Linked DNA regions of Caenorhabditis elegans. The protein of the gene in region 3 interacts with the protein of the main gene of each other region in a pairwise test. Each region holds a gene or a part of one and is shown on either strand. Other genes may lie near its edges. The genes, in order: sax-7, rps-10 and pah-1.

Region 1 (7,195 bases), on a different chromosome or scaffold from region 3:
GTCTCTCGTAACCCCATTGTGATGATGTTGAAAAGGGGTTTATTAGCTGAATATCATAGACTGTCTAGAAAAGCATCAAAAACAGTTTCAATGGAAAAAAGAGATACCCGAAACGGGGGAGACGTGATGGGACAAGTAAGGCGGGTAGTTGAGACGGGGGCTCTGGCAGTAGTGAGAAGGCGAAGAGGCACAGCACTGGCAGCAGTAGCAGCAGCAACCAGCAGCAGTAGATCTCTTTCTCTCTTTCCTATCTCTCACTTGCCCCAAACACAGCACTCGTATTTGTGTGTATTTCTATGTCTCTCTTCACTTCATCTCTTCCTCCTATTTTCTCTGAATTTCACGCTCATTTTCTCTGCGCACTCCTCCTTCTTTCATCTCATGGGTAACGCCTCCTTCTACCACCATCTACACCATCGCTACCACCAGAGAAGCACCAAAAGCGCCGCACGAGCACCCAAAATGACGCTTCCCTCCTTTTCTTCTACGCCTTCCTTTCCTTGCCGTCGTCGTCAACCCAATGGGGAATTACCTAGAGACGAAGCACAAGGAGAAGCTGAAGAAGAAGAATCGGTGAAGCATTGAAAAGAGAAAAGAGCAAAAGAAGATTATAATGGCTATGTTGGTGGTGGTGGTGGCAGTGGTCACTCAACTCATAATCGGTATAAAGTCAGGAAAGGTGAAAGGAAGAGGAAAAAGTGAATGAAGAAGTGCATCCGTCAAGGCGCCGCCACACCAAGGGCTTCAATTACGACACTAATCCGGATCGTACAAAAAGCTTCATATACTACGAAATAGATGAAGAATTTTAGAAAAAAAACAGCGCGAAATTGAAAGAAAAACAAGATTCACTTCATCTACACCATCACATTTTTCTATTTTGTAGCACGAAGAAAGCAGAATACTGTCTGATTGCTTTTTGTTGTTTGACTACAAAAACATTTCAAGTCATGCATTTTTCTGGAACGGAAATATAGAAAAAGCTTGGGCGAGTGTGGTTTTTTGTTGAAAAATTCACATTTTTGGCACATTTTGAAAATATAACGTCTTGAGAACAGACTTGTTATTAAACAGAAAAAATATAGAAAACTAAAATACGGTAGTCAGTCTCGACACGCCAATTTTTTTTAATACATCCAGGCGTGTGCCTATAAAGAGCACTGTAATTTCTACAATTTTCTTCGATTTTTCTTTTTTTTTCTCGATTTTTTGAAATTAAAATGTTATAAATCTTTTTGAGTTTTTTAATAAATAAATATTTGGCTATCAAAAAAAAAAATTTAAAACCACGCCCATTTTGGTACCGTATTTTTGGCTAAAAAATCGCAAAGTTTTGCGTATTAATTTTTGCGTACCATATTTCCGTTTAAGATTTTTATTTGATTGTTCAAAAATAAATTATTTTTATTATTCAAAGTTCAGGCGGTGAGTTTCGTAAAAGTGCAAGACTAATATAAAAACTATTTTTAAAAGCATACAAAAACAACTGCTTTTTGATTCGCTAAAAAAGTAAGCTTTTTCATCATTTAAAACAAAAAAATGGAGACAATTGAAAGGTCTCGTCAAAAAATTTCAATCAAATTAAGACGACAAAACCACCACTTAACAGCAGCTAATCTGTTTTTTCTTCGTTTCTCTCATTCCCGTTCTCTCCTCTCCAAATAGGTTCACACCAGTATCATCATCTTCGTTCATATTATGTGAGGCCACTTTTCACAATGTGTGAATGGAGGATAAAGCTCAAAGGGTTACTTCTTAGGAGCAGCTAATGTCTTTCTATCCACTTCAAAATATTCTCATTTCAACTGGTTAAACTTCAGAAGGTCATTTCTCATCCTTCAACCTCCGGGGGTATGTCTAACTAATTGCGATGGAGACGTAATAACAACGGAAAAAATGTTGCAAACTACTGAATTACGCAACGGAAAAATGGTGGCGGAAAGGTACAAATAGAAGTGGACAGGTGTTGTTGTAACGCAAAAAAAAACTTATTCATCTGATGGAGACGTCGGGAAAAGGGTCTGTATTATAGGGGTTACAATAGAATTTGGACATAGAATATAATAATAGTGAGAAGGGCGATGTATATTGGTATGATGTATGAATAGAAGGCAAGAATCGACAGAAGGACCTAATTGTTAGTACGTACACTAGAAACAGATACCAACTTAACAACAGGAAATTTTAGCATAAAAATGCCAAATGTAAAAATATAATTTGATTGCATATTTGTCGGATAAATTATCAATTCGTCGAAATAAGTGTTTAAAGCTGACCATCATATGCTATATTTTCAAACGTACTTTTCGTGAGAACGAAACAAAAATGCTTTAGATGTTGTCAAAAAAAATCAATTTGGCTTGGGAAAATGGGAAAGTAGTTTTCGAATTGGCTTTAAAAACGAGAATCGTCGAAATCATCCACGAGTTACAATTTCAAAATATAGAATCGAAACACTTTAAAAACTTCTGTTTGATTTGATTTTAATTGAAAAAAAATACATGGAAATTGAAGTTTTCTTTAGTATTTGAAGATTGGAACGAGCAGCAAATTTGAAACTTAATCGCAGAGATTATTCGTCTAGTTATTTTTTTTTCGAAAAATTGAATACGATACAGCCAGAAGCACTGAATAGTTTTTTCTTCAATCTTTCTCCAAAAATCGTTCAATTCTATGAAAATTGTTTGATTTTGGTTTACAAAGAACAGGGAGTGAATGAGAAAAGTTTTCTTGGCACAATGAGGTTACGAGAAACGATCTGTAAAAAGAATGAAAAAAAAAACTGTTATCACTCACTTGTTCATTGCTAGAAATATGACTACTACTGATAGTTTCGAAATGTCCCGGTTCTTTTCCCATAAGAATCCAATAAACTCTTGCGTATGGATTACTAGCAGGTGGAGAACAATTTCTTTGGTACGGATCTCCAACTTCGACAACTACAACTTCTGGTTCCGCAGTTTTGAAATGACGAATCCATGTTTCTTGTACACGGACAGGACGATCAACAGCTGTTCCATTCGAATTTTCAGCTTCACATTGATATAATCCGGCATCAGATTCATCAAGACGGGAGAACACAAGGCTTCCTGGAAAATGTCATATTTATTTCAGAACAGGTTTTCTGAAAAACCGAACTTTTTTTTAATGAGAAATCAATATTTCTCGGTTTTTAGGCCTAACCGAAAATTTCGATTTTTTTTGGATTTGAGGAAAAACTGTTTTCCTGTTTTTCCTGCATGTGGGAGTTTTATAATTGCACAAAAATAAAACAAATTTGTTTATATTTAAATGAAGTGAACTTTTTTCAAATCAGAATAATAATTTGAAACAAACATTTAACTATTCAGTTACTCCATCTTTTTAATTTCAAAAATGTTCCATATTCTCTCAATTTTAGATTTTTACAACAACAAAAAATATTCACCTTCTCCTGGTTTCTGAACAACTTTCTCCGGAAACATGGACGGCAGGAACGTCTTACCATCCTTTTTCCAACGATATCTGTAATAAAGAAAATAGTATAAAAAACATATTTTGAACACTTTTTAATTCTGGAAGTTGAAAAATAAAAATGCAAATGGAAACTGTTCGTAGAGCATAATGTTGAATTTTCAAATTTTTTAATGCTCCACCAAAACTGCCAAAAGGATTTTAAAGCAATTTTAGAAGCAGTAAAAAGACTTCGAATTTTTTTTCAAATTTAGATAGAAACTACCGTATCTTTCCCAATTAGTATTGCATGCAAGTCTAATTTTCAATAAAAATTATTTTAAGATATTTGAAGATTCATTTTTTTTTCTAAATTTTACTTTTTCAGAAACATTACAAAAAACTTACGAAGGCCTTGGATTTCCATTTGCATAGCAATGAATCGTTTGTTCGAGCAGATTACCGGGCGTATTTTTCGCCGATTCATCACTCATTCCACTTTTTTCGACTTTAAAGTAAACGGTATCTGCATTCTTATCGTGAACAAATTGTGGAGGAGTTTCGATCGCTGACCAATCTATGCTGCCTGAAACAGTTTTTATTAGAAATGTTGCTACATATATATGGATATTTGACAATTGTTTCTGTTATAGAAATATTTGTTTTTTGTTCATAAATTTGAGCACATCAAATGCTTTTCAGCGTTTTTCTCAATATTATTTATTTACAATTTTTTTCTATAAAAAGGCTTTGAATATCTTGATTCCATATTTATTTTCATTTTTGCCATTAAAAAACAACAAAAAAGGGCGTAAAATGATGTTGCAATCAAATATGTCAACATGAATCGCCAATCAAACAATTTTCGAAGCGATATGATGTCCTCGACGTCAAAAGAATTCTCACCTGATGATATGTGGCCAGTGAGTAACAAGAGGAATATGAAGCTCCTCATGATGGTGGTCTTTCGACGTGATCTAGAATCGCGTCGAACTTCGTTCGATACTCTTTTTCTATCCTGAAATTGGAATAAAGCTTGCGAAGAATTTTGAGAGAAGTTCGGAGAAAAAACAACGAGAAATGAAAAAAAAGGAAACGTTAAGAATTAAACAAACATGAATTAGTTTGAAAAAATAGAATCTTCCCTCAATTTTCAAGAAAATAATTGTACTACTACTTGTGCAAATGAAACTATTCTCGTACAAAATCTGATTCATCTTTAAAATTTCGAAAATTGGGATTACATTAAAACCGGAAAATAAACGAAAGACTTTAAAATCAGAAGAATGAAATAAAGAACTTCTTATTTTGTCTAGGTTTCTCCTTTTCCCGATTATGCAAATGAAAAAAAGCGAGAATTCATGGGAATCTACCCCGCTGACCGAAAAGTGACCATGAGGAAGCACGTTGGATTAACGATGAGAATAAGAAATTAAATCTGTTGTTTGATTCATTACGAAAATAAAATTAAGAGAAAAAAGTTTCGAAAATTATCAACAAAAAAAGTTATTTTTAAAAAAGTACAGACAAAAACATAAGGTGGAAAAAATGGAATGCAAGATGAGAAAAGAAGGGCATGAGGAGAAGTCAACGGGGGTGATAGATGTATTCGTTGACAGTCCACACACACACACACACACACACACACAGAACCGACGCAATCTGCGCATGGCGGTAGCCGATGGCATTGTACTTTACCGGTTGTCTCGTTTTTTTTTGCAATCAGAACGAGAGCTGCTCCATTCTTCAGAAGCGGCCGTTCTTCAAGGACGTTTTCAGGAAAGAAAAGGAAAAAAGAAAAATGCGTTCGCGTCACGCTACTCGATTTTTGTTGCTCAAAATGTTCTACGCACGAGATGTCACCTATGAGACGTATGGATGCGTGGGTAAAAGAATAACAAGACTTCAAAGATTCTGGGCCACAAATCATTTACGACAGAAAATAGGTGATTTTTATCCGAAAAAAGCTAAATTTTCAACACAGCGCGTCTGAAACATTCAAAACGGGAACATGATCAGGTTTTTAACGGAAAATGTGATTTAAACGTTATTTCGAATCGAAAACGACTTTCAGATGTTTTAATTTACTTTTAGACTAATAAATTTTGTAGTTTTACAAGTAAAAACACTAGAAAAACAGAGAAAATTCAGAGTTTTCGTTAAAAATCGTTTTGGCGGCGAAACAAAACAAATGCAAGTACTGTAGCAAAGGCGCGCAACAGAGCGCACATGCTCGGGTCTCGAAACGATTGCAAAATTTCTGGTCTACCTTTCGATCAAGCCTAGTTTCTCTATTGAATTATTCGTTTTTTCTTTGGATAACGCGATTTAAAAATTTTTTTTAAAAAAATTATTTCTAAAATAAAAAAATACAATTCAGTTTCATCGACTTGGAGACATGAAATTTTTGATGCGAAAAAAAAACCTGTGACACCACAGACTATATACTTCCGGAGCATTGTGCTAAGTCGATCGGACAGATTTCTCGAAATCCTTTCGTCCGCATTACTCTCTATATGTCACGGAAGAAGGTCGTAAAATGAGTGTGTCTCTGAGCCAAAAGAGGTCTGGTTATTTCTCCAAATTCATAAAATTTGGATTTGGCAGTTCACTCTCTTTTCCTCATTATTCATAACACATCAATCTTGCTTTCATGAACACCGCCACGATGAGCAGATCAAGCAGAACATAGAGAGTAGCTTCAACAGCAGTGAACATCAAAAAGAATGAATTATTAAATAAAGTTGCTATAGAGAAATGAGAAGGCACGCTTTAGATGTATCAATATAAGGATGGGTAGGGGAAAAAGAGGGTATCTTCCGTTTTCTACAGCGGTCGGTCGGGACGGTAATAAAACAAAAAGGACAGAAGACGAACACCCGAATCGTCACAGATGAATTGATGCTGCCACCCATCACGATAATCCTATCAAGATAAAAAAAATAACAGTCTTACAGAAATTTATAGCCATTTTTTGGTTTTTGGATTAACAGTATGAATTTCGGGATTTCTTTTTACACCTCTTCGAATCAACAGATCTTTCACATCTTTTCCCTGTGAGACGCATGATATTTTTCAGAAATTTTAAAAATTGTTTTCTTTAACTTTCTCGTTAAATAAAAAAAAAATTCTTCACGAGATTTCAGTCTCCCTCCATTAACAAAATGGAAGAATGGCCGTGAGAAGGTTGCAAACCTCTTCCACGAGCATAAGTAAGTTTGAAACATTTGTGAGACGCAGACAAGTTTCAAATGAACGTTTGTAACACTATAATAATACTTTCTAACTGTGATGGACATTGGAAGCCCTTCAGGCTTGTTTTAAAAAGTTAGTTCTGTGACCTGAACAAATCAATTGAACATTACGTACAAGACTACAAGAGACTTAAGGCATCCTAGTATTTCTGAATATTATCTGAAAATTAGTAAAAATCCCATGACTCGTGGCTTTTAGTGATAAATGAATGAGAGGAGAGAATAATAAATTATGAAAACAGTGAAGCGAGTGGTCGAATGAACGGTGGGAGGAGTTATTTGAACCGAAAAAGTATGACTCATTCCTATTTTTTTTTTCAAAAAATGAAAAATGTTAACTGAAAGAAAAAGGCCAAATATTTTTGACAAACTCTGACATTTGTTCCTAATAGTAAGAAATCTTAAATTTAACAGGACAAGTTAGTGGATCATTTTGAAAACTGAATTTTTCATAAAATGCTCGATAACGTCCAAGCAAAGTTTATCCAGATCGCTTTTCTTTTGCAAGA
Region 2 (5,534 bases), on a different chromosome or scaffold from region 3:
CTCTCCGTCATTATAGAGACAAAACTCGCTCCATGGCGTTGGAGCCGAGCTCATACTTCCAGTATGGCCAATTCGTGGACCTTCAATTTGATGCCAAGATCCGAGATGAATAGCTGCTCGGTGTAGAAGATCCAAATAATTTAGAGGAGATAGATATGCCACGTAGAGAGAGAAGGCAGTCAATCCGACGACAATTGCAAGTTGACATTCCCATACCTCGTTGATGAGGATTTTTTGTGGGATTCCTTGGCTTGTTTTGAACTGAAAAATCGTTGAATTTAGTAATCGATCGGTGAATTTTGCAAAAAAGCCGGGGTTTCTTAACCGTGTGGCACGGCTTTTTGTTGCTTTTTTTGAAAATAAAATTCAGATTTTGCCTTTTTTTTTTTTTTTGAACGAAAATGTTATTAAATTTGAATAATTCTCATAAGATTTTAAGGATATTTCATGTTTTTACAACCAATTTAGCATGAAATATCCTCAAAATCCTATAAGAACTAAAATTAATAAAATTTCCAATCAAAAAAGGAAATAAAACAGGCAGAATCGAAATTTTATTGAAAAAAAAAATCAAAAGACCGTGCCGCAGGGTTGCGAAATTAAGTTCCGCTTCTTTCTCTGTGTACAGGTTACTGAAGGCACTTACGGGCACGAAAATGCATGGAAGCATAATACTGAGAAACGCTGTGGAAACTCCTGCAAATATGCTTTTTTTGACTCTGAGCACCAGGTCATCGATAAGAACTTGAATCTCTTCACGAATTTGAGCTGGACTATCACTGCACATGTGTAATACTGATTCTAAATCAATTTGGGCAGGTGGTGACTCCGAAAGACGTTCACAAACATCTGAGAATTCGATTTCTCGTCGTCGCCATTTTCCAATTTGTTCACGGAACCGTCCGAGCCATCCGATGATTTCAGATCGGAAAATGAAGGCGTAGAATAAGATTCTGAAACAAATTTATTAAATATTAAATAATTTATTAAATAAGTTGAATTTTATCGATTCTTTATTAACTTTTCTATGAGTTGGATTAATTGGTCTTTTTATCGATGTTTGGATTATCCAAAATGACCAATTGCGCCATTTTGTTCCAAAAGCTTTCATTAGAATAGAGAATCACTTTATTTATTTTAAAATATCATTCATTTAAATGTAAGCATCTCAAAAAATGCACAAAAATGTCCTGAAACTTGTCAATTGCCTAAAAACAATGCTCGATAATTCGATAATCGACAAATTTGCAATTTTCAGGTCATTTTTAAGCATTTCTTTGTTTAAACTGAAATAAATTATATTTTAATATATTTAAACAAAGTGATTTTCTATACTTTGACACTAATTTCTAATAAAAAATGCTGAAACAAGATGGCGCAATAGGTCAATTTGACTGTGTATTTGCAAAAATCCGACAACTTACGGAAATAAAAACCAAAGCACAGATCTACTCGGAAAATCGTGACAGACTCGATTAAAACTGAAAAGGAAGCTCGTAATGATCAGTGTCATCACTGGTGTTTTAATTGCTGCATATTCTACAATCATCAGGCTCGACTGAATAAACTGCGACTGGTTGGCGGATATTGTGGCGATCACTTCAGTTATCTGCACAATTCTTTATTATTGATTTCTATTTTAATAAATGTAAGGCATTACCGTTTTCCAGAAACAGACGGTTACCCTCCAGCCAAGTAAAAGGCCAACACATGACAGGAAATATGGATTTATGAGATGGAATTTCTGAAAATAATGGACATATTGAATTTCCTGTTATCCTTTTTCACACTTACAAGTGAATAATGCCAATACGACTTCGGAAGCCACCAAAGAGTTTTGTATATATTCAGATATTGTAAAAATAAAGCCAATACTGAATATAAAAACAAAGTGCATTCGAAAAATAGCTCTCCTTGTGTGAACTGAATATCCGGCCATATAGGATGGACGGAAAGCGTTACACCACTCGCTCTTGGGATTGAAGCTGGCACGGAAGGAGCTTGTGGTGGAGGTGCCGGCACTCGTCTTCGAGGCGGCATATCTTACTTAAATTCCACAAAATGTATTACGATTCTAGGCAGAGTGACAATGTACTTGTTGATGGAAAATTCACCGTTTTGTTTATTGTATTAATTCAACTTTTGATGTAACAATTTCATTAGAAAAACAATAACATTTATTGTGGTGGTGGGGCTCCACGGCCGAATCCGGCTCTGTAGACTGGGGCTCCTCCTGGTCCAGCCTCGGTGACCTTCTCGGTTCTGTAGGCTTCACGGTCTCCCTTCTCGCCTTGAGCTGAATATTTTCAGCAATCAATAAAAGTACTTGTAGGACAAAACTTACCGGCGCGTGGGGCTCTATCCTCGTGTGGGACACGGATCTCTCTTGGCTTGGTCTTGATGGTGGCTGGGACGATCTCAGCTGGAAGAGCGAGGTACTCACGGAGGTACAAGATTCCGGCGTCGGTCAAGTACCAGTAGTAGTGGCGCCAGGCAAATTGCTCCTTAACCAACTCGCGGGAGGCAAGAGACTGTAATCACAATAGATTATTGATTTTTTTAATTATGGGAAAAATAACTCACCTTCAAAGTCTTGATGACCTCAAGGTTGGAAACTCCCTCGATGTTTGGGTGAGTCTTGGCATTGAAGTCTTTCTTGGCGACAGTCACTCCCTCGTTGAAGAGGTACTCATAGATGAGCTTGGTGTGGCTTTTCGGGATGAACATGATGACCGCAAGTTCTGAAACAAATACACAATTTATAACAATGCACAATTTTTTACGAAATAGGAAGAGATTTTTTGGCGATTGGAGGAATCTTCAAAAGTAGGGCAGAAACAAGAAAAATCGATTGAGATGCATTATTTTTGGGACTCAACAGAATTCCACCTGGAAATTCAGGATTGATTGCTTATTAGAGTATAAATTTTCACTTTTTTAACACAATAAGTCACTAAATTTTCAAAGAAACGGGATTTTGGAAAAAAAAATTGAAAGAAAAGAGGTACAACGAAATTCTTCCGACTAATGCATTACATAGGGGCACACACGCAGCGACACAGAGAAACAAGTGATTTTGGTTAAATTCGCACAGCCGAAACGAGTGTTACCGTACTCTTGCTGCGTAGCGCCCCTATCTTTTGCATTAGAGGAGTTTTGAAGAGAGGAAAGAATTTTTTCGTTTTTTTTTCGAGGCCTATCCCAACTCCTTGTTCACGAATGTTTTAATTTTGGGAATAATTGATTATTGGAAATTAAATTCGTTATTTTTATAAGCTACAAACAGATCCTTGATAATTGTCGTTGATTTTACTTTATCCTAAATTTATCTCAAAAATGTTGAAATTCAGATTCGTCAAGCGAGGGCCTATCAACAATGAAGGTCGAAACCTGCGTTTACTCCGGATACAAGATCCACCCAGGACACGGAAAGAGACTTGTCCGTACTGACGGAAAGGTGAGTTCAGTTTCTCTTTGAAAGGCGTTAGCATGCTGTTAGAGCTCGTAAGGTATATTGTAATTTTACGAGTGTTGAAGTATTGCAAAAGTAAAGCATAATCACCTTATGTATGTGTTGGTGCTATATCTTCTAGTTTTTAGAAGTTATACCATCGTTAAGCATGCCACGTGTTGAGTGCGACAAACTACCGTTTCATGATTTATTTATTCAAATTTCAGGTCCAAATCTTCCTCAGTGGAAAGGCACTCAAGGGAGCCAAGCTTCGCCGTAACCCACGTGACATCAGATGGACTGTCCTCTACAGAATCAAGAACAAGAAGGTACTTGAGATCCTTAAACGCAGTTGAAAATTGGTAATTTTACAGGGAACCCACGGACAAGAGCAAGTCACCAGAAAGAAGACCAAGAAGTCCGTCCAGGTTGTTAACCGCGCCGTCGCTGGACTTTCCCTTGATGCTATCCTTGCCAAGAGAAACCAGACCGAAGACTTCCGTCGCCAACAGCGTGAACAAGCCGCTAAGATCGCCAAGGATGCCAACAAGGCTGTCCGTGCCGCCAAGGCTGCTGCCAACAAGGTAAACTTTCTACAATATTTATTATAAACTTTAGCATGCTGTTAGAGCTTGTAAGGTATATGTGATTTTACGAGTGTTGAAGTATTGCAAAAGCAAAGGACGGGCACAATTGCCATGTGTTGGTATTATTGCTTCAAGTTATTTGAAGCTGTAATATCAATAAGCATGTCTCGTGTGAAGTCCGACAATTTACCATATGCATGAAATTTAAAAACAAGTTAATTTTGTCAATTCTTTATCATTGGTTTTCAGGAAAAGAAGGCCTCTCAGCCAAAGACCCAGCAAAAGACCGCCAAGAATGTGAAGACTGCTGCTCCACGTGTCGGAGGAAAGCGATAAACGTTCTCGGTCCCGTTATTGTAATAAATTTTGTTGACCGTTAAAGTTTTAATGCAAGACATCCAACAAGAAAAGTATTCTCAAATTATTATTTTAACAGAACTATCCGAATCTGTTCATTTGAGTTTGTTTAGAATGAGGACTCTTCGAATAGCCCAGTACAGTGTTCTTACTGTTGGGTTCGCCATTTATATGTACCGACTGATTGAAGAAATTCCGATAGACATAAGGAATTTAAATTCGGATTCTCTCGAGGGGATCATCAACTCCGATGAACTATGTGATGTCACCGTCAGCAATAGGAATCGTGGGCTTTTAGTTCGAAACGACTCTTTAGATCTTGATATTTTGAAAGCAAAATTCACTACATTTTTCAGCAAAAGATAGTTAGTTTTCTGGACTTATTAAAAAGGATAATATGGTTTCAAAAATTCAGTCTCACTCGATTTCTAAGCGAACAAGTTCCTTTTCTGCACGTGATCGATGAAGCTCTTCTCGTGAAACGATTTGTGATGTGTGCATGCTTTATGGTATTCTGTTTAACAGTGATCTGGTTTCTGGTGATTCGAAGAATGGGAAATCTCATTAAAAGATTGTCAGTGCTGAATCAGCTGGAAGATGCGGAATCTGTTGAATGGGCGAGATGCATCAGAGAGTTTACACAAGAAAAGCTCGCAGTACTGTGCTTTTGCATAGTTCCACCGTTTGCACAGACGGATAAGTTAGTTTCAGACAAAATAAAGTTATTCCGGGAACACAAAATTCTGAGAATTCGTAGTGTGCAACATATTTGACGCGCAAATACCTCGTAACGAAAACTACAGTTATTCTTTAAATCACTACTGTAGTGCTTGTGTCGATTTTCGAAGTGAATTTCTTTCCGAATTGTGACATCGATATTCTACTTTCCTTCGTTTCTTCGTAATAAGTTTTTTTTGCTAAGTTTTAATATTCTGTAAATTAAAAAAAAACGATTTTTACTCATGTCGAAACCCGAGCCCGTAAATCGACATAAACGCTACAGTAGTCATTTAAATAGTTACTGTAGTTTTCGCTACAAAATATTTTCGCGCACAGCCTTCTCACGTGGAAATGACCCAACAAGGGGGCTTGCGCGTTTCTCGTGAGCGTGGGAAAATTTTACCGTTGAAAAGTGATTT
Region 3 (7,209 bases):
AATGTTTTTTTGTTGAAAAAATTTTCCAGTTGATTTTTTGTCAATTAAAGTATAATTGGGAAAATTCTAAAGAATTAACATAATTTAAAATGTTCGTGTTTTAGATATAATTTTGAGTTTTTTTAAAAATGTTTTTCATCTGATTCTGAAAAAAGTTTATTTGATAGACAAAAAAAACTATAAAAAGCTGACCGTCTTCCATTCCAAATATGAAAAATAATAAAATCGTGGGTCGAGGGAAAGAGGGAAAATATTCGATTGAGAATGCAAACAGTGTGCATGTTCACACAGCTGGCAGTACTATATGTTTCCAATTATTTTATTCTATCAAAATCATATTTTAATAGTGAAACAATTGGTTAAACAAAAGGATTACTCTTTGAAGATTTGCAAAAAATTAAACAAAAAATACACCCGAATGTATTATTTGGCCAATCTTTAAAGTAAAATAGATGGTACTTGTGTATTATTTCCCCTCATTTTTAAATTCCATATATTTATCCATTTTAATAAAACATGATGTTCATTTTCCCTCTTTACGGTTATTTCCTGGTTATGGTTAAAATATTAAAACTTATTTTTTAAAAATAAGGGAAATAATACACAAGTGCCAACTAGATACTAAAATTGGGAAAATTGATGTTTTGATTAAACACAAATTCAATTTAATTTCCAAAAAAAATGAATTGAAAAGGAGTTGAAAACGCATGCTTGTAATAATCATGATAAGAAAGGAAGACAACATAAGAAGAAAAAGAATTGATTAAATGTACGTGGAGCCGCACCTTTAAAATGATAACAAAGTGCACATACAAATGTTTCACTAGACCTCTACATTTGCATAACCTAGTTTTGAGAACTCAGTGCCAGTTTTTACTTCTTTTTGCAGATGAAGTCAAAAGCACTTCATTTTGGACACACAACGAGACTTCCGTACAACACACACACACACACAAAAACTAAACAATAATCAAAAATGCATGACAATTTATATGCACAGTTTTCGTTTTTCGCAGTTAGATCACTCACACCAAAACACTCGCTGTCGTAGATGACGTGGTTTTTGCAACAAAAATGGATAACTGGCTTTAATTTGGGAAACATTTTGGTGCTCACACCAATTTTTCGCACTTTTTTCATGTGATGCTTCAAATAAAGTAATTGCTGAAAAGGAAATCGTTTCAGATGCCGGAAAAATGTTGGAAAAATACGCGTTAATCCTGGCGAGAGAAAAAAAACAAAACAATTGGAAGTGAACAAGGCTTCGAATTGTTTATTTTCATTTCAGTGCATTGCTTCCAACGACGGTGAACACTATTTTTAATTAATTAGTTTTCACATTTCCCTGTTTTCAAGGAGTTAAGGGAATATGATATGTTTTTTAGAACAGTCATCATAGTTGTAACTCCATCGTAGGTAGTTTAAAAATCGTCTGTAAATCGAGCAGCATGGACAAATTTGTAATTGTTGTTCAGGTTTCTTTGTAATTCAACAAACATTGAGAACAATGTACATTTATTCTTGCAAATTAACAATTTAATCAAAAAGTCACTTCATCTTGAGATTGTTCACTTTTCCAAGAGCTTCTTCCAAAGTAGAAATATCACTTCTGATGTCTCTTGCGAGACGTTGAAGTGCTGCTACCTTGTCGAGAATTTCAACTCGTTGAGTGTAAGCATTATAACGAATTTGGAATGGACGATTGATGGTAGCTGCCCATGATCTGAAATTATCTAGATTACAGTTGAAACTGACTATTTGATCCTACTTAAGTTTGTTCTTAGCACTTGCAAATGATTCAGCTAAGAAATACTTTGGCTGATATTCTGTGATTGGATATTTGGTGACACAACATACAGCTGGATCAAAATCTACAACTTCCGGCTTATCACTCAACGCATATTGAAGCTCTCCAAATGAACTCAAAAGTCCGGCTCCGTAAGCTTTTTTCTCCCCATCTTGTTGACAGATTCCAAATTCGATTGTGAACCAGTAGAGCTAATATTTCAAAATAAAAAGGGGGTTTCAATGTTCAAACATACTGTGGCAAGTTTTTCAATAACATCATCTGGAGCTCCAAGAGAAGCAAGACCGATTTCCTGTGAGAATTGTGCAAATTCAACATCAGCAAATAGTGGAACATGTCCCAGAAGCTCGTGGCAGATATCTCTGAAAGTTACATCTCCAGCTTATTGTCAAAAATTCAGAATATATCCAGATGATAATCAACCGATTAGATTTTATTTTCCTTTTATGTTGCACTATAGAGTTTTCACAATTTTTTCAAAGCAAAAGTCGTTTACGAAATCCCACCCTCGGTTAAAATTATCATGTTCAAACTCACGGTTCAGGTGTGTATTTTGGAGCGGAATGATGGCGAATGTATTGTGTGGAATGAAAAACACGGAAGGCCAAACCAGCCAAGAAATCACGAGAAGAAAGAAGACCAGCGACTGGTCGAATCGTGTACCCGGTACAATCTGAACACGAAACAAATACAAAAACAATCAGATGATAATGATTTGTTTACCCTTCAAAAAATCTGAAACATCCTGCAATTGTGGAATGCGGTCAGGTCCAAAACCACAATTCTGCTGGAGGAGTGGGAATATGTAGTTGAACTCTTGGCAAGCGTTTTTCGGGTACATAACTGTCAGCTCGTTGTAGACTGTACGCCACGTGGCAATTTCTTCATCAGTGTAGGTGATAGTAGGGATCTTGTCTCCGCTGGAAAGTACGATCAGGTTGCAATTCGGATTTTTTGGATTTTATTCAGTACGCCTTCAATGTTACATATTTATTGGCACATATTGCTACTTTTGTTGATGAAATGACTTACTGTTTGAAGTTGAATGCAATATCGGCGAAAAACTTTCTGCGCTCGCGGTAGGTCATGTCCTTAAATCCAGGGTGATCGGCATCAAGCTCAGCTCCATAAGAAAGAATTCTGTTGGCAAATTGATCGATGTCGTTGATCTTCTGTGGGAACCATGGAACAGAATCTACAAAGCTCTTGAATTTAATACTGTGAGTTTCATTATTGTTATAGCGTACCCTTGTTTTGTTTGTTTTTGGTGTTCCAGTCTTGAACAAGAACCTTCTTTTCAGCTTTTTGTTGGAAATGCTCAATAACTCCTTCAATCTTACGATGGTCTTCAGCTTCAGCAAATTCAACGAGCACCTCATAGCATCCTTCATGAGTCTTTGATGGTCTTGATTCAATGTGAGACAGATTCACATCATGTGCCTGCAAGAATGTGTAATGAAGCATGTAATTGGTAGGAATTTGAGACAATTGATATGATCTCTTTTTCTCGTGACACGATTTTCGACATCTTTGATAATCAAAAATCGCGAACCGGATTAAAAAATGCAACTACGTAGTTTATCTCTTATCATATTTAGAAACAGTTTGGTGCAAATTTTCAAATTTTAATTTGATATAAATGTTTTTTCTATGTCTACTCAACCGTCTAAACATAATTGAAGATCATATTATTCAACGCTTTATGATGCATAAAATATTAAACCGCCTGATCAAGAGTAGACGTGAGAATCATAAGATTTAAAAAAAAAAGTGTCGCTGACGCAATAGTCATCCTCTGAAGTCTCATGATCCTCTGACATTTCTAGTCTGGTTTTTTTCATGACTAACCTGGAACAGCTTCAATGTTTCAGCGAGAGCTCCTGCCTTTTCACGAAGAGTGAATACGATAGTAGTCTTGCCAATGTCGGCGTTGACGTCAGCAACGTACGATTCCATGGCGTACTTCTGAAATAAGTTGGACTTTAGTAATTGGAAATAATTTTACACAAAATTCTCAAACAGAAGTTTTTCTTGATCAGTTCAAACAAGGAAGGTCTCACCAAGAAGTCAAGATCATCTTGTCCAGCTGGTGGCATTTTCAGAGAACAAGATTTGGTTTTCAGAGGAATAGACAGTCACCGGGAAATAAGAATTAAACAGAGACAAAACGTGAGCCGTACGTTGCCGTTTATACGAGACGAAATAGCTGGAGACTCAGAAGCCTAGAGATACAAGGCGTGGCCTATGAACTAGATAATTCGTGTGGCCCCCAATACCATTCTGCAGAGAAAAATCCACGTGGGAGGAGACTCGCGGCTACCCATACACAACCTACACGTGGGTTTTCATTAGAGTGTAGTGTGAGATAGAAGAACGGTTGGAAGAAATTGAAAAAAATACGAAGAAGAAGAAGAACAGTCAGATGATGAACTTGAAAGCACGTGGAAAATGATATGAAATAGATCACAGACAAATGGACGCCTGAACAATAAAAGATATGATTATGATCAATGAAATACAGTTTGAACTTCCAAAAGAAAGCATGCCCCAGTGGATCTTCTTCGTAAAATAGATGTAAATCTCTGTTTCTAGTTGAGTTGAAATTTAAGACGTTGGGTATGAATTGGATTGTAGGCCTTTTCAGGCGTATGTGCTTACATACAGTCATTTTTCAATTTCAATTAATTGATGAAGCTTAAATATGGATAGTGGAATGTTTCATTTTTTCACGATGCTGAAAAAGGGGAAACTGAAACAGGTTTTTTTTGTTGAGTAAATTTACCGAATTTGGAGTCTTACGACTGCCTTGTGACGAGCCTCGTTCAAAACTTTTTTTCAACTTCCTCAAATTTCTCGAATTTTAGTTTTTGACCTTAAACAGACATTTCAATGGTTTTGATTGAAGAAAAAACCAAGTTTTCTTTGAAACGATCAAATGGGTTACGGTAAAAGCCATAAAATCATGGTGTATCGAATCGAAAGTAGGAGGGGGACGCTGAGAAAAATCAACAGAACACAATAATGAAAACTGGTTGACGCATCCTTTGTATTGTGAAAAGGAAGGAAAATGAGATGAGATGAAGACGTGGAATATTTAGATGGAAATATATAGGAGGACGTTTGGTTGAATGTCTGACATTTTAGGATGATAAATTTAGAAGAAAGAAATTTATATGAATGGATGAGACAAGACGATGTCATAAATCAGTTTGAAAACGGCAGAAACGATCAATAGTTGATGATGTCCGACTGGCTTTTATCAACTTTTCGTGAAAATTTTCGTTTGCAACGCGAATCTTCTGCAGACCATGATCTGAGATGTCTATGTCAATGAGGTAAATAGGAACAGTAATACAGCATTGAAACAATTAATTTAGTCGATGGTTGATCATAAAAAATGGAGAAATTTTGAAAATACTCGTGTACGAGATCAACTGATCAGCGACGGTTTCGATGAAAACAGGGGAAAATATAAGGATGATAACACTTTTGAAGATAGCAAAATATTTTGGTTCAAACAGTTTTTAATTAATTGAAATTATTTAACAATTTTCTAATAGTATGATAACAAATTCTATAATTTTTTTTAATAATTTCCGTAGTTTTGACCAAATTTTTGTTTAGATTGTAACTTCCACGGATATCACGTATACTTTGGCAATAGAGGCTGGCATAGGCCGCCTGGTAGGACTTTGTATTTATGTATTTTCAGCTGTTACCCTCTTTTTGAAAAATTAAAGTATGGCCGAAAAAAAGTATTTTTAAAATATTCAAAATTAGCAAATTGATTTTTTTTTTCAGATAATTTGGCAAACATCAGTTTCTTATTACAAATGCAAATGTTTGACGTTGGACTAGTATAAATAAAGAGCTCGATGTACAAAAATTATATCATAATATTGAGAAAAATGGATCAAACATACCTTTCTAATTTCATCAATATTCATCCTTATATAGCTGGACTCAACAGACCAATAATATAACTGATGGAATGTACGAAAAAGGAAAAGGAAGGAGGTACTGCCGGGATAATCATCAGTTTACGTTATCATCTTATATCTTGAATGCACCGAGTCGCGTGGAAGATATCCAATCTGACCTTCCATTTTTATCTATATTTTAAATAAATTTAAATAAACTTGTTCAGCAGAAAACTCGTTATTACGTGAACCAGATAGAAAAAAATGGTCGGAACAGTGAAATCAAATCAGTTTTAAATTTTTAATGGATAGGAAAGGGTTCACAATGGAAAAGGTGAGTGGCTTTCAGTTATTTGATGGCTATTGCACGCATTCAAACATTCTGCAAGTGATTTATTCAGGGAAACATAGACGATATTTGGACATTACAAAAAGTTGGCACACCTTTTCCACCAAATGTTGCAAAAGCTCCTGGTGAGACAAATAAGTACGTCGCATTATGGTATAAACACGGAAAACCAGTGATGGGCAGAGCTTGGAACGATTCTGGAGTGGTGAAGGTAAACTGGAAAAATAACTATTCAGAAATTAAAAATAGACTTCCAATTATTTGAACTTGCAAGTATGCAAGTTCGCCTGCATAAAAGGTAACTTACAAGCGGTATTAAAATATTAAAATACAAAAAAATATGGAGAGCCACCACGAAGTTTTGATTCCTTGGCCAATCAATCCAATTTTACAGGGAATTTTACCAACGGTAGATATGTGCTCTGGAAAGCTGGATCGATTTGCCAAGTTTCAACTCATCGTTTGTTGCATATTTGCTATTGATATGTTAGGCTCACTTGATATTTTAGGGAAAATTTTCCTTTAAAAAATAAACTAGGAAATTCTAAGACTATATAATAAAAAATATCCATTTAATCCAACTTTTCAGTGCATGTTTGTTCTCGATGATAAGATATATAGTGGAGCAGATGTCGGAGGAAGCATTCAATTACTTATTCTCGATCATATTGAAAAATCAAAATCATTTCATTATGATTGGGTAAACTTCAAAAAAGCACAAAGTTTGACAATTGAAGGAAAATATGAAATGGTTCGATGTGAATACAGTGCATCAATGTATTGGCCGGAGCATGGACTATTAGGATGCGTGAACACAGAGAAGCTTGTCGCACATTTTGTTGATAACGAAATGCAAATTGTTGGTTTTTTATTTAAACGCTTATTTCATCTATTAGTTCAGAAAACCACCAAAAAGTTGGAACATCTTTTGGTTCTGTGTAAGATTGCTGGATCAAGAGACGCGACTGAAAAAGAAAAGGAAAAGGGTTCCACTGGAAGTGCTTCAAAGTTATTGACAGTCGTCAACGATTGGGAGGATTTCAATTGGGGAAGTGCGTGGCCATCCAATAAGTGAGTAGCTTTATATTTGCCTATTTATTAACATTTTCTAGGTTTTTAATTTTATATTTTGT

What was found.
Region 1: the proteins of pah-1 (region 3) and sax-7 interact in a two-hybrid assay, tested with the Caenorhabditis elegans proteins (one study listed by BioGRID).
Region 2: the proteins of pah-1 (region 3) and rps-10 interact in a two-hybrid assay, tested with the Caenorhabditis elegans proteins (2 studies listed by BioGRID).

Annotation. Positions count from the first base shown.
Region 1 is NC_003282.8:8,059,924-8,067,118, reverse strand, and holds the start of sax-7 (Neuroglian), read right to left. Parts: upstream 4,461-7,195; 5' UTR 4,388-4,460; coding exon 4,339-4,387; intron 4,019-4,338; coding exon 3,841-4,018; intron 3,505-3,840; coding exon 3,428-3,504; intron 3,090-3,427; coding exon 2,797-3,089; intron 255-2,796; exon of another isoform or gene 18-254; coding exon of another isoform or gene 1-17.
Region 2 is NC_003279.8:4,581,765-4,587,298, forward strand, and holds rps-10 (Plectin/eS10 N-terminal domain-containing protein), read right to left. Parts: upstream 2,742-5,534; 5' UTR 2,728-2,741; coding exon 2,584-2,727; intron 2,532-2,583; coding exon 2,345-2,531; intron 2,297-2,344; coding exon 2,178-2,296; 3' UTR 2,109-2,177; downstream 1-2,108. Other genes in the region: tmem-39 (uncharacterized protein), read right to left, coding at 1-261, 647-953, 1,425-1,609, 1,661-1,744, 1,795-2,040; rpl-24 (Large ribosomal subunit protein eL24), read left to right, coding at 3,377-3,457, 3,679-3,780, 3,826-4,035, 4,288-4,374; D1007.10 (Gustatory receptor), read left to right, coding at 4,510-4,760, 4,811-5,095.
Region 3 is NC_003280.10:8,761,169-8,768,377, forward strand, and holds pah-1 (Phenylalanine-4-hydroxylase), read right to left. Parts: upstream 4,044-7,209; 5' UTR 3,904-4,043; coding exon 3,868-3,903; intron 3,773-3,867; coding exon 3,656-3,772; intron 3,248-3,655; coding exon 3,055-3,247; intron 3,003-3,054; coding exon 2,840-3,002; intron 2,728-2,839; coding exon 2,531-2,727; intron 2,481-2,530; coding exon 2,345-2,480; intron 2,170-2,344; coding exon 2,043-2,169; intron 1,999-2,042; coding exon 1,769-1,998; intron 1,724-1,768; coding exon 1,549-1,723; 3' UTR 1,454-1,548; downstream 1-1,453. Other genes in the region: nsph-1.1 (Nematode Specific Peptide family), read left to right, coding at 6,032-6,061, 6,129-6,287, 6,471-6,536, 6,666-6,935, 6,978-7,147. UniProt on the Caenorhabditis elegans protein: Catalyzes the hydroxylation of L-phenylalanine to L-tyrosine. Catalyzes the hydroxylation of tryptophan to 5-hydroxy-L-tryptophan. Plays a role in the biosynthesis of a melanin-like cuticle pigment.